Linked DNA regions of Tribolium castaneum. The protein of the gene in region 2 interacts with the protein of the main gene of each other region in a biochemical or structural test. Links are inferred from orthologs where the notes say so. Each region holds a gene or a part of one and is shown on either strand. Other genes may lie near its edges.

What was found.
Region 1: the proteins of Dap160 (region 2) and shi form a complex in vitro, tested with the Drosophila melanogaster proteins (2 studies listed by BioGRID, with this or other methods). The link is inferred for Tribolium castaneum from reciprocal best matches to the Drosophila melanogaster genes Dap160 and shi.

Annotation. Positions count from the first base shown.
Region 1 is NC_087400.1:8,003,306-8,008,612, forward strand, and holds part of shi (dynamin), read right to left. Parts: intron 3,346-5,307; coding exon 3,196-3,345; intron 3,142-3,195; coding exon 2,938-3,141; intron 2,889-2,937; coding exon 2,486-2,888; intron 1-2,485. UniProt on the Drosophila melanogaster protein: Microtubule-associated force-producing protein which is involved in the production of microtubule bundles and which is able to bind and hydrolyze GTP. Implicated in endocytic protein sorting.
Region 2 is NC_087394.1:30,596,014-30,602,129, reverse strand, and holds part of Dap160 (intersectin-2), read left to right. Parts: intron 1-394; coding exon of another isoform or gene 395-537; exon of another isoform or gene 538-548; intron 549-659; exon of another isoform or gene 660-847; intron 848-872; exon of another isoform or gene 873-1,211; intron 1,212-1,557; exon of another isoform or gene 1,558-1,726; intron 1,727-1,858; 5' UTR 1,859-1,862; coding exon 1,863-2,038; intron 2,039-2,085; coding exon 2,086-2,820; intron 2,821-2,938; coding exon 2,939-3,094; intron 3,095-3,143; coding exon 3,144-3,361; intron 3,362-3,413; coding exon 3,414-4,501; intron 4,502-4,548; coding exon 4,549-4,712; intron 4,713-4,759; coding exon 4,760-5,012; intron 5,013-5,065; coding exon 5,066-5,227; intron 5,228-6,116. Other genes in the region: Orct (organic cation transporter protein), read right to left, coding at 395-537.

The sequences.
Region 1 (5,307 bases), on a different chromosome or scaffold from region 2:
AAAGTTCGAAATTTGCGCACTTTACTGGTCTCGCTAGGTGTGACGTCACGCGGCACAATTCACTCAGCTGCCCACTGCCGCGTGTAGAAAATTCGATTCTTTGAGGGGCTGTATCTGGTTAAAATTAACATGCTTCCAAAATTACTTCGCTGTTCCTCAATTTTTTCCATTTAGCTATTGCACTCCTATATCTTTTATGAATGTTTAATGAACTATTGGCCCTAAATAAAATAAACAAAATTTAGAAATCACACGTTATAAAACCGTTTGATATCAAAAAATGAGAACATTACAACTTTAAAAAACAAGAAAATCGTAATTTCATATCTTTGAAAACTCTAGGTTTATAATTATACACCACATCAACTTATTCATCGAACGTATCTTCAGAAGCATTGACAAATAAAAAAATTGTATTTCTGTTTTGCAAGAGCCGATATCTTTAATAAGAAGTCGTTTATAGAACACTTATTTTTTTACATATTTTTTGTACAAAACATTTTGCAAGCATCGCTTGTTCTAGAAATCATAAAAATTTCCATTAGTTAATGATTTTAATTTTTTTAAATAAAATAATATTTTATTAACATAAATATTGTTCATTAATTAATATTTATTATTTATAAGAAAGTGTAGAAAAAAATCTGAAAAAATTCGAAGAAATAAAGCAAAAAATATCGCAAACGCTGATTTTTGTGCCATTATTAAAATGGATTACTATTAGTTATTAGTGATTTATTATAGTATCTACTTAAACAAATTACTTCAATCATCACAAATAACACTTTCTGTCAATATTTATTTCTTTTAAGTCAATAAAATTATCCAGATATTTACACAGTAGTGTGTAAATCGCAGATACCTTGTGAACAGTTTATGCCGCGTGACGTCATCAGGCTCAAAAAAGCTTATATTTTTGTTATTTTTAAAGCTATCGAATTATTTTTTTTGCATTCATTTCTTGAATTGAGTACTACTATGTTGAAAATAAATAATAACATTTTGAAAAATTGAAAACTTCTTCATTGGTCTACTAATTTTTTTTATTTTTTTTCAGGTTAGTTTCTACTACTTTTTTGGTTAAAAAAAAAAAAACAAAATGTTAAATGTTTCTTATTTTCCTGTTACTCTGATTACAAGTTAGATAGAACCGAGTAATGATAAATTAAAGCATCTTATTTCTCCAGTGAACCTAATACATACAACAATATATTCATTTTATTTTTTTGTGGCTTCATTTCTTAGTAACTGATAATTAATTAAAAAAAAAAAAAACAAAAATTTTCATTCTTATTCTCTGACCAGTGATATAATATAAATCAGTCATGACGTAAGCTTAGTTGGTTACAGTTAGTCCACTTACCTCCTTAAAAGTATACAGGTGTAGTTATTTTTTATATTTATTTTTTGTGTAATTCAATTTCTATTTTATTTAATCCAAGTTATTAGTTACATTTTTGATTGCACGTAACATTACGAATATTTCATTACGTTTTAGTAATACCTTCTAATTTTTTTATTTCTTAACAAATCAAAAACAAACACGAAAATTATATGAACATTTTTAGTTAAAAAAAATTGTACATATCTACTTTTTGCAAATTACAAAAAAATCGTTTATTATTTTCACTGTAACATATTAAATAAAAATGTCAGCAATAAAATAATTCTTCCTAGAAATCCAAAATAAATTAACCGAAAATTATCTATTGCTCGACTAAAATTGTTTCATTTATGTTTACTTTTCTGATTTATTATTTTTTTATTAATTAAAGAAAAGAACCGATTTATAGTTTATTTAAATCCTTTTAAAAACCTACGGCTTCATTTAAAAACAAATCAAAATGTGTAGGATCAAAAAACATTTTTTTCATTGAGACATATTTTAAAGTTAACAACAATAATGAACAATAAAAACAATTGAAAATTTATTTTACAGTAGAACTTTGTCAGGTCGAACTTCTTACGGCACAAGTACACAAAGATTTTAACTGAAAATATATGTATACTATAGATTTTATTAATTTCAAATTACTGATACATTTTGCTTTTTTTCTCAAGAAACGAAATAAAAGCGTAAAAATAGTACAGATCGTCTCTATTTCTCCTTGGAAAGTTGTAAAAAAAAATTGTTTTCTATGTAAGAATCACCCTGTATCTTCTCTAGGCTCAAAATTAGTGAGAAAAGCTGTTTTTAGGGTTTCCAGACCTTTACAATACCGTATTAAAGACGAGAATTAATAAAAAAAACTATTACATAATTCGAAATTTCGAGATATGGATTCGTTTTGAAGAGGTTCCACTATATTCATTTTGTATACTCTGGCTACTAGCAAAATAGGTCTCAACTGATCACCCTCCTCTTTATTTTGTTTGTGCTTTTTTACTCTCCACTTCTTCGTTATTAATACATTCTTTCTCATCGATTATGAGTCATTTTTTACAATATTTTTTTAGTTCAAACTTATTTTTTAAATGTACTTACTGTAACATCGCCTTGGTTTTAATCGCAGGATCATCGGGCCTGAAGTGCTTAAACTGCTCGACATCCTTCTCAAGCGTCAACAACTGCTTCTGCAATTTATCCCTCAATCCTGGTAACGTATCCCTTATGTGGTTGGTCAATTGTTGATTCAACACCCTTTGCAAATAGGGTGTTCCCAACCTATCGGCAAGATGTCTATACGAGGGATGCGACAAAAAGAATTGCCTTTCGGCCGCCATCGCCGCCTTGATATCCTTCCGCCCGTCGATATCCTTCTGTGAGCGATTCACCACACCTATATAACCCCTTCTCAAGGGCAAAAGCTTATTTTCTAGCACGTCCCGAGCGTCGGTCCCTTCATCCATCAAATCAAGCTTCGTGATAACACCAATCGTCCGAAGACCTGATAACAAATCGTTTGAAAAAATTCAAATTTCCCGCCATGTTTCTACCTTGAGGATCGACCTCTTTGGCCAGTTTGAGGGCATCCGAGTTGGCCAAATCGGTGTTGGCGGGAGTTACGGCCAAGATGAGACACGATTCACGTTTGATGAACTGCATTATCATCCCTTTGATTTGTTGTTCGATGTCGAGGGGTTGATCGCCAATGGGCACTTTTGTCAAGCCCGGTAGATCGATCAGGGTTAAATTTAACACTAAAAAATACGTAAAATCGATTTTTTGCCCCCGTTTGTTTAATAAGGACTTGCCATGGGGTGAGTACACCCTCAAGTTGATGGGAATATTCGATATTCCTTTGTTACTTCCGGTGACTCGGTCCGTTTCCGCTTCAATCTCGCGACGCACTTCGTCGAAATCGACGAATTTTTTGCCTTTACAGTGGAGAAATTCAGCATATTCTGAAAAAAAAAATCGTTTCTTATTTAGTTGCAAACATTTCGGTTAAATTAATCACCAGACGTAAACAACATAAAATCGAAGATTTTCGACGAACGTATTTATTTTTGTGAACCTTGTAGATAAACTATTGAAAATAGACCCAAGTTTTATTCTAACAACTCACTCTCTCGTTGTGAAAATTCAAAAATCCTACAAAAACAATGAGGAAGTTTCCCATTTTTCAAAATTTATTTTATTATTTATTATTTATTTTCAACATAATAGTACTCAAATAAAGAAATTGAATGCAAAAAAAAATAATTCGATAACTTTAAAAATAACAAAAATATAAGCTTTTTTGCCTGCCGGTTTGACAGCGGTCCCGCTTTGAGCCTGATGACGTCACGCGGCATAAACTGTTCACAAGGTAACGCGATTTACACACTACTGTTCCTTTCGGTATTGTATTGAGATCTCTGGATAATTTTATTGACTTAAAAGAAATAAATATTGAAAGAAAGTGTTATTTGTGATGATTGAAGTAATATGTTTAAGTAGATACTGTAATAAATCACTAATAACTAATAATAATCCATTTTAATAATCACATAAAAATCAGCGTATGCGATTTTATTTTGCTTTATTTCTTGCTGTATGCCATCGAATTTTTTCAGATTTCTTTCTACAATTTCTTATAAACAATAAATATTAATTAATGAGAAATATTTATATTAATAAAATACTATTTAATTTAAAAAAATTAAAAATATTAACAAATGAACATTTTTATGATTTCTAGAACAAACAATGCTTGCAAAGTGTTTTGTACAAAAAATATGTAAAAAAATAAGTGTTCAACAAACGACTTCTTATTAAAGAATATCAACTCTTGCATAAACAGAAATACAATTTCTTTATTTGTCAATGCTCTTGAAGATACGTTCGATGAATAAGTAGATGTGGTTTATAATTATAAACCTAGAGTTTTCAAAGATATGAAATTACGATTTTCTTCTTTTTTAAAGTTGTAATGTTCTCATTTTTTTATATCAAACGGTTTTATAACGTGAGATTTCTAAATTTTATTTATTTTATTTAGGGCTAATAGTTCATTAAACATTCATAAAAGATATAGGAGTGCAATAGCTAAGTGGAAAAAATTGAGGAACAGCGAAATAATTTTGGAAACATGTTAATTTTAACCAGATACAGCCCCTCAAAAAATCGAATTTTCCACACGCGGCAGTAGGCAGCTGTGGAAAATTGTGCCGCGTGACGTTACACCTAGCGAGACCAGTAAAGTGCACAATCTGTCAAATTTCGAACTTTGAGGTCTCTTAACTTTTTTATTTTTGCGAATATAAAAAAATGAAAAGTACCATTAGTTTTACAATTATGGAGACTATTAATGGTGTTAATTTGAAAAAAATGGAAACTTCCTCATTACCAAGACTGTATCAACTTTACCGTCACGCCCTGTATAAAAAATTTTTTTGGGATGTGTTCATCAGTCATCATTTCCTGGAATAATTTTTGAAAAATGGAGCAAATAACAAGTCAGTGAATTTGTTTATTTTATTACTTAATTTTTCCGCAATCAAATATGATTTTTTTCCTCTTCCGCACTACATAATCACATGAATTTCTGGTTGAAAACACTCGACGTTCATTAGAGAACACTTTTCATTTTAAATTAAATTTGAATAAACTTTCCAACTTTTACTCTTTCTTGTTAAACATTTAATTTCTGCTACCCATGATTCACCCAATTGGTGCGTCACAATTTGTTATAAATTTAACTGTTACTTGAGGTGCGTTTAAAATGACACACATTCCAAATCCACAAAGAACAGTTTTATTGTTTAATCGTAAAAATTTAGCTCATGATATCGGTCACGAAATCTTAAAAATATTGTGGAAGGTTCAAATGTGTGATTAAATTTTGATAAGATTATCGAATTTTTCATTAAAACATGCGCTTA
Region 2 (6,116 bases):
TGTGCCAAATAAATAATAGTCTAAAAAGATGAATTACCATTCAAAGACCTTATTATCATTAAAGGTAGCAAGACAAAATAATTACAATTCGTATTGAAAAAAATTGCAGTTCTCCCATGCGATAACCAAAATAGAGATCAAGCAAACAGTCTGATTTCCAACTTTTTTTTATTAAAACACAAACACAAAGATAAAACAGTTAAAAAACAATTAATTTCTATTGCTTGAAATATACTCGTGTCACTTCCGTTTTATTTTATCAATTTTACAGTCGAATTTTCGTATGATAAAGCAAACGTTGTGAATAATTAGGTTACAGTGCCAGGCAATATTTAGCTAAGAATTAATTACAAACATTAATACGTACTTTTTATTTAGAAATGGAAAAAGTTACCTGTAAGCAGGTTCTGCGATGAGGAACACATTTCCCAGCTTATGAAAGGCACAGAGAATGGCTGGAAGGCATAATAAAAAATAAATCCGCTTCTGGTATCCCCCGAAATCGCCGATTAGGGGAATAACATCGTCATAGCCCATTGTACCGTCACCTGAAACAAATAATTCCAACGAAAACTTTGTGATAACTAATCTCTGGATTTTATTTGGGCTATTTTATGGATTTATTGCGTTTTTTACGACGTTAATTTCAGATTGCTTACCACTAAAATGTTAAAAGTTTTTGAAAAAAATATATTTGAAGATACTTTTCGGGTTAGAACCGCTGCAACAGGTTAATTCGCACATGTAGTGTCAACAATTTAATATAAAAAAATCAACAAAACTAATTGATAATAATTAGAAAAATGAAAAACGACCCGAGTAAATTAAAATGTAAGATGAATTTAGCGCGTTCCCCGGCGTAACGACGTTACCTAGCAACCAATTTGAGACGATGTTGAGCCAACTACGACCGAATCAATAATGGCAAGTGAAAGAATGAAACAGCGTTCTGGTGGTAAATTAACGAAGAACTTACCGATTTGATGGTCAAAGACTAGAAGAGCTCACATAGAAGTGTAACACTCTGCTTCGGAAATCTAACATCTACACGTTTCGGGCTAAATCGGGGTTACCAGTGTGCAATCTTCCAAATCAATACTTATGCTGACCTCTATGGAAAATCCGAAAAATTGATCTGGTCCAATGCAGAGTCACGCCATGCGTTGAATAAGCGCTCGAAACATTCGATTTTCGTAACTTGTTTAAAAAAGACCAGTTTTCACGTTTCCAATTTTTTACTAACAACCCTCTTTTAGAAGGGTAACGAATTTGGCACTTTTTCACGGAATACAGCGTTAAATTAAACAAAAAACGTAATCCTGTGAGCGTAATAAAAGTAATCAGCACTAACAAAGCGGTCTCGACGAGATAACAAGTAAAATAGTGATTTTAAAAAATTCTGAGCACTTCACGGTTTTCGTTTGGGAACCGCTGGTTTCGTACAGTTATCTAACATGCCGGCGCTCTTATGCTCACATGTCATCTTGAAGTGCCAACCAATTTTTGCTCTTATGTAACATGTCAATTCGGAACAAATTCCTAAATCTGTGAGCGGAAATATCGGAAATTTATTGATTTGTGTCAACTGCAATGGTGACGAAGTGTTGAGGGTGTTGTATAGTTGAATTGTTTCTTAGGACAAGAAATCTAACAAAAACTTTGTAAACAATGGTTACTTATTTAAAACTGCTATAAAACTGCCTTTTGCTGGAGTAAATCGAAGCTGGTACGGAACACTTCTTGTTACAATTCACCGAAGTAGAATTTGTTATTATGTTTGCCGAATATACGCCTCTGCCTCTGCGGTTTTCGATTACAAGAGGCAGTGACTCATTCATTTATGATTTTTGTTTCGTAGAAAAATGTCCGCTGCTGGAACCCCATCCACGGACCCTTGGGTCATCCTGGCCCGCGAGCGAGCCCGCTATGAGGAGCAGTTCAAGTCTCTCAAGCCCAACAACGGGGTCGTGACGGGGGAGCAAGCCAAAGGCTTCTTCCTCCAGTCACAGCTCCCACCGCTTGTTCTGGGTCAAATTTGGTAAGGTAACGACCACAGCCGCAAAAATCCACTAACCCTCACCACAGGGCTTTGGCCGACACCGACGCTGACGGCAAAATGGACGTGAACGAATTTTCAATCGCTTGCAAACTGATCAACTTAAAGCTGCGCGGTTTCGAAGTCCCCAAGGCGCTTCCACCGTCTCTCCTCGCCTCCCTGAAGACCAGCACCCCGCCTGCCATACCCCCCCTTCCCAACCCGGCCCTAATCAGCGCCCCGCCGCGACCGGAGCCCCCAAAGCCGGCCCTAATCCAGCCCCAAGTACCGCCAACTCAGCCCATGCTGCCCGTGATGACGCAGCCCCCTATTGCCGGGATTCCCCCAATGATGGCAGGGATTCCCCCGCAGCCTGTGCCCGGCATACCGACGGGTATCGTGCCCCCGATGCAGAGCGCCGTGCCCCAGGTGCAGCCCATGATGGGCATTCCGCCCCAGCCGTTGGTCAACCAAGTCATGCCGACTACCGCATTTGGGGCTGCGCCCTTGGGGGCGAGCATTCCCCCGATGCCTGCCAGTGTTCCCCTGATTTCCGGCACTACTGCCATACCAACAGCTGCCGTTAGTTTGCCGAATGTTCCGGTAACTTTACCGAATGTTCCAACCGCGTCGGCAGCGCCGATTGTTCCGGCACCGCACATGTCTCCAGTGGGGTCCGTTACGGGGGCTGTTGTGTCGACTGTGGCCCCCATGGGGCCGGGGGCCACCAGCACGCCGAGGTCCAGTATTGCCAGCTTGGATAAAACTGCGTCCGTGGAGTCTCTGTACGTAAAAATATATTTTCTCTAAAATTTGTTTTTTGTTCTATTTATTTCTTTTTTTGTAAAGCCATTGAAAGCTAAGTAATTCTCAGATCGGAACAAAATTTTGTATTGTTTTCAGACAAGTCGATTGGGCTGTGCCCCATCAAACCAAGTTGAAGTATACACAAATCTTTAACACAACTGATAGAACTCGTTCGGGATTTTTATCGGGTGCCCAGGCCAGGAACGTAATGGTACAGACAAAACTGCCACAAAGTGTCTTAGCACAAATTTGGTAAGTTTTTTATTTTTGTGTAAAAATTTAAATAAGTGGATGTTTTTAGGGGTTTATCCGACATGGACGCGGATGGCAGGCTGGGCTGTGAAGAATTCGTTTTAGCCATGCATTTGTGTGAGCAAGCTTCTTTAGGCAACCCTCCACCTGCAAAACTTCCACCTGAACTGATACCACCTTCGTTTAGAAGAGTAACCAGAACCGCATCGATTTCTAGTCAAGGCAGCGTTCCTCTGGACCAAGACCCAGCTTCAACGTTATTGCAAAGTAAATTATTCTATAATATGGTATAATTCTTGCAAAAACTATGTTTTCGCAGCTTCTTTCGAAGATAAACGTAAGGAGAACTTCGAGAAAGGTCAAGCGGAGTTGGAGAGGCGCCGGAAAGCTCTCTTGGACCAGCAGCGAAAGGAAGCCGAAGAACGCGAACGAAAAGAACGCGAGGAAATGGAGAGGAAAGAGAAAGCTAGACAGGAGGCGGAACGGAAGAGAATGGAAGAGCTCGAACGCCAAATGAGGGAACAACAGGAACAGGAACGCCTGAAAGAGGAAGAGCGGAAACGACAGGCGGAACAAAGGGAAGCAGCTAGGCGGGAAATGGAACGTCAAAGACAACTAGAGTGGGAAAAGCAAAGATTGCAAGAATTGCAACAACAGCGACAGAAAGAGCAAGAAAACGTCTTACGATTAAAAGCCAAAAGTCAGAGTCTGACCATCGAATTAACATCACTGAACGACCAAGTGAAAGAATTATCGCAGAAAATTTGCGACACGCGTTTAGGAGTTTCGAATGTGAAAACAACAATCGACGGAATGCGGTCAACCAGAGACTCACAAATGCAAGAAATGTCGCAGCTGAAGAATAAACTCAAAGAGCAGAACACGAAACTCCTTGCCTTATCCCAAGAGAAGATCAAACTGGAAGCGAAAAACAAACTGAATGCTCAGATGGGCGGACAGGATGCTGAACAAGCGAAAATCGCTTTCGAAAACAAGGAAATCACTATTAAAAACCTTCGGGAGAAAATCGAAGACATGCAAAAGCAAATTGAAGGGAAACTGTCAGACATCGAAAATAACAACACTCAACTGACCGAGCTTAGAACCCAATTACACACTCTCGTCAGCGAGTGCGAAGGCTTATACGGCGTGTATGAGGAGAAGAAGACAAAGGTTTTAGAAATGAAAAATGCCAACAGGAATTTGGATTACAATGCGAGCTGGAAGAGCAACGACGCTTGGGGTGACACTGGCACGCAGGCCGCTACGGAATGGCCCGCCGATAATTGGGGCACTTCAACAGCACAACCAACCACCGATGTTGGGGTCGTGAGATACAGGGCGTTGTACGAATTTGTCGCGAGAAATTCAGACGAGATTTCGTTCCAACCCGGTGATATTATTAATGTAAGTGACTTGACCCGACTTGAGGTACAATTAATTGTTAATTTAAGGTTCCTACGAAACAAACGGGTGAGCCGGGTTGGTTAGCTGGCGAGATAAGGGGGCACACGGGGTGGTTCCCCGAATCGTACGTTGAACCGGTGGACGGAGTCGGTGTCAGGGACGCTCCAACCGCTGAAGTGTACCCCGAAGAACAGAAAACAGAACGATTAGAGTATTTTTTTCAGTTTTATTAATATTTGTACTACCATGAGTTTGCAGGGGAATTCCCGAAGTTATCGAAACACCGAATCCTGTCCCTGAGCCAGTGCCGGCCGTTACACAACCAGAAGAGACCGGAGAAATCGAATATTACATTGCTAATTATCCATATCAATCTCAGGAACAAGGTGATCTGACGTTCAACGCCGGTGATGTTATCACAGTTGTCAAGAAGGATGGCGATTGGTGGACGGGAAAAATCGGTAATACTGTTGGTATTTTTCCGAGTAATTACGTTCAAAAAGTTGATGTGGTAAGTTGGTGTGTGTTGGAAGATGTTTCGTTTAAGTGTTTGTGTTTGTTAAGAATTCTGGCACTAACACAACCACTGCGAATACTACTACCACGGCCCCGCTTAGTTCAGCTCCTGAGAGCTCTAACACGCCAATAGATTACGAGGTTTCTCAAATCAACGAATACAAGGCGCCTGAGAAACCGCTAGATGCCTCTATAACCTCCAATACTCAGGTTTGTGTCTAAAACTCCTTTTTACTAACACCAATAAACAGCTCTCCGGCGAAGAAAAAATTTTTTTTGTTACTTGCATTTTACGAAAACCGCCATGGGGGCAACAATCTTGATACAAATTAAGGTCCCATAATTTTGAAAAATTTTGCTTTACTTTGTTATGCCGCCCTACGAATGCACAAATTTCAAACTCAATTTTTAAGGAAAAATAATAAATAAAATCGTTTTTTTTTTCACAATTGAATGTTGTTTGTAGGTTAAATCATTACTGTGGCGGGTAATTAAACTATGATTAAGTTTAATAATTCGGGGCCGAGTGGTAGCCGCCACCAGAGCGAAAAACATTTATTTGAGGTAGGTCTTCCGGCTATGTTGCGGAAACAATTATTTGGGAAAGATTGAGGCAGACACATTAAAGACGTACTCATTAATAAATAGTTTAATTAACATATTTGAAAAGTACAAAAAGTAATAAGTATGCTTGCATTAAGGAGACAAATACTAAATCTATTGGGAATCGCCATCTCTTATGGAACCGGTCCTGGATTGATTCACCAAATACCCGTCACCGAATTGAGTACATGAATTTACCGAATACCACATGTAACCCTAATTTACTTCTAGTTCTAACAATTATAGTACTTAACGTTTATTTAGTCTTTAAAAATCCAACAAAGTTTCGTTCATTTATCATTCGCAACGGCGTTCGAATCGTTCAAATAAACAGGTAGCGTCCGCCGCCTTTGTTACGTAATTTACAACCCCAAAACGTTCGGCAGGTACTTATGATAATTTTTACAACAAGGTCCATGTCGAACAACGTGAGAAACTCTGGCCACCTCGAGAAAAGAAACAGTTTACCTATCTTTAACATCTATTGTTTCGCAAA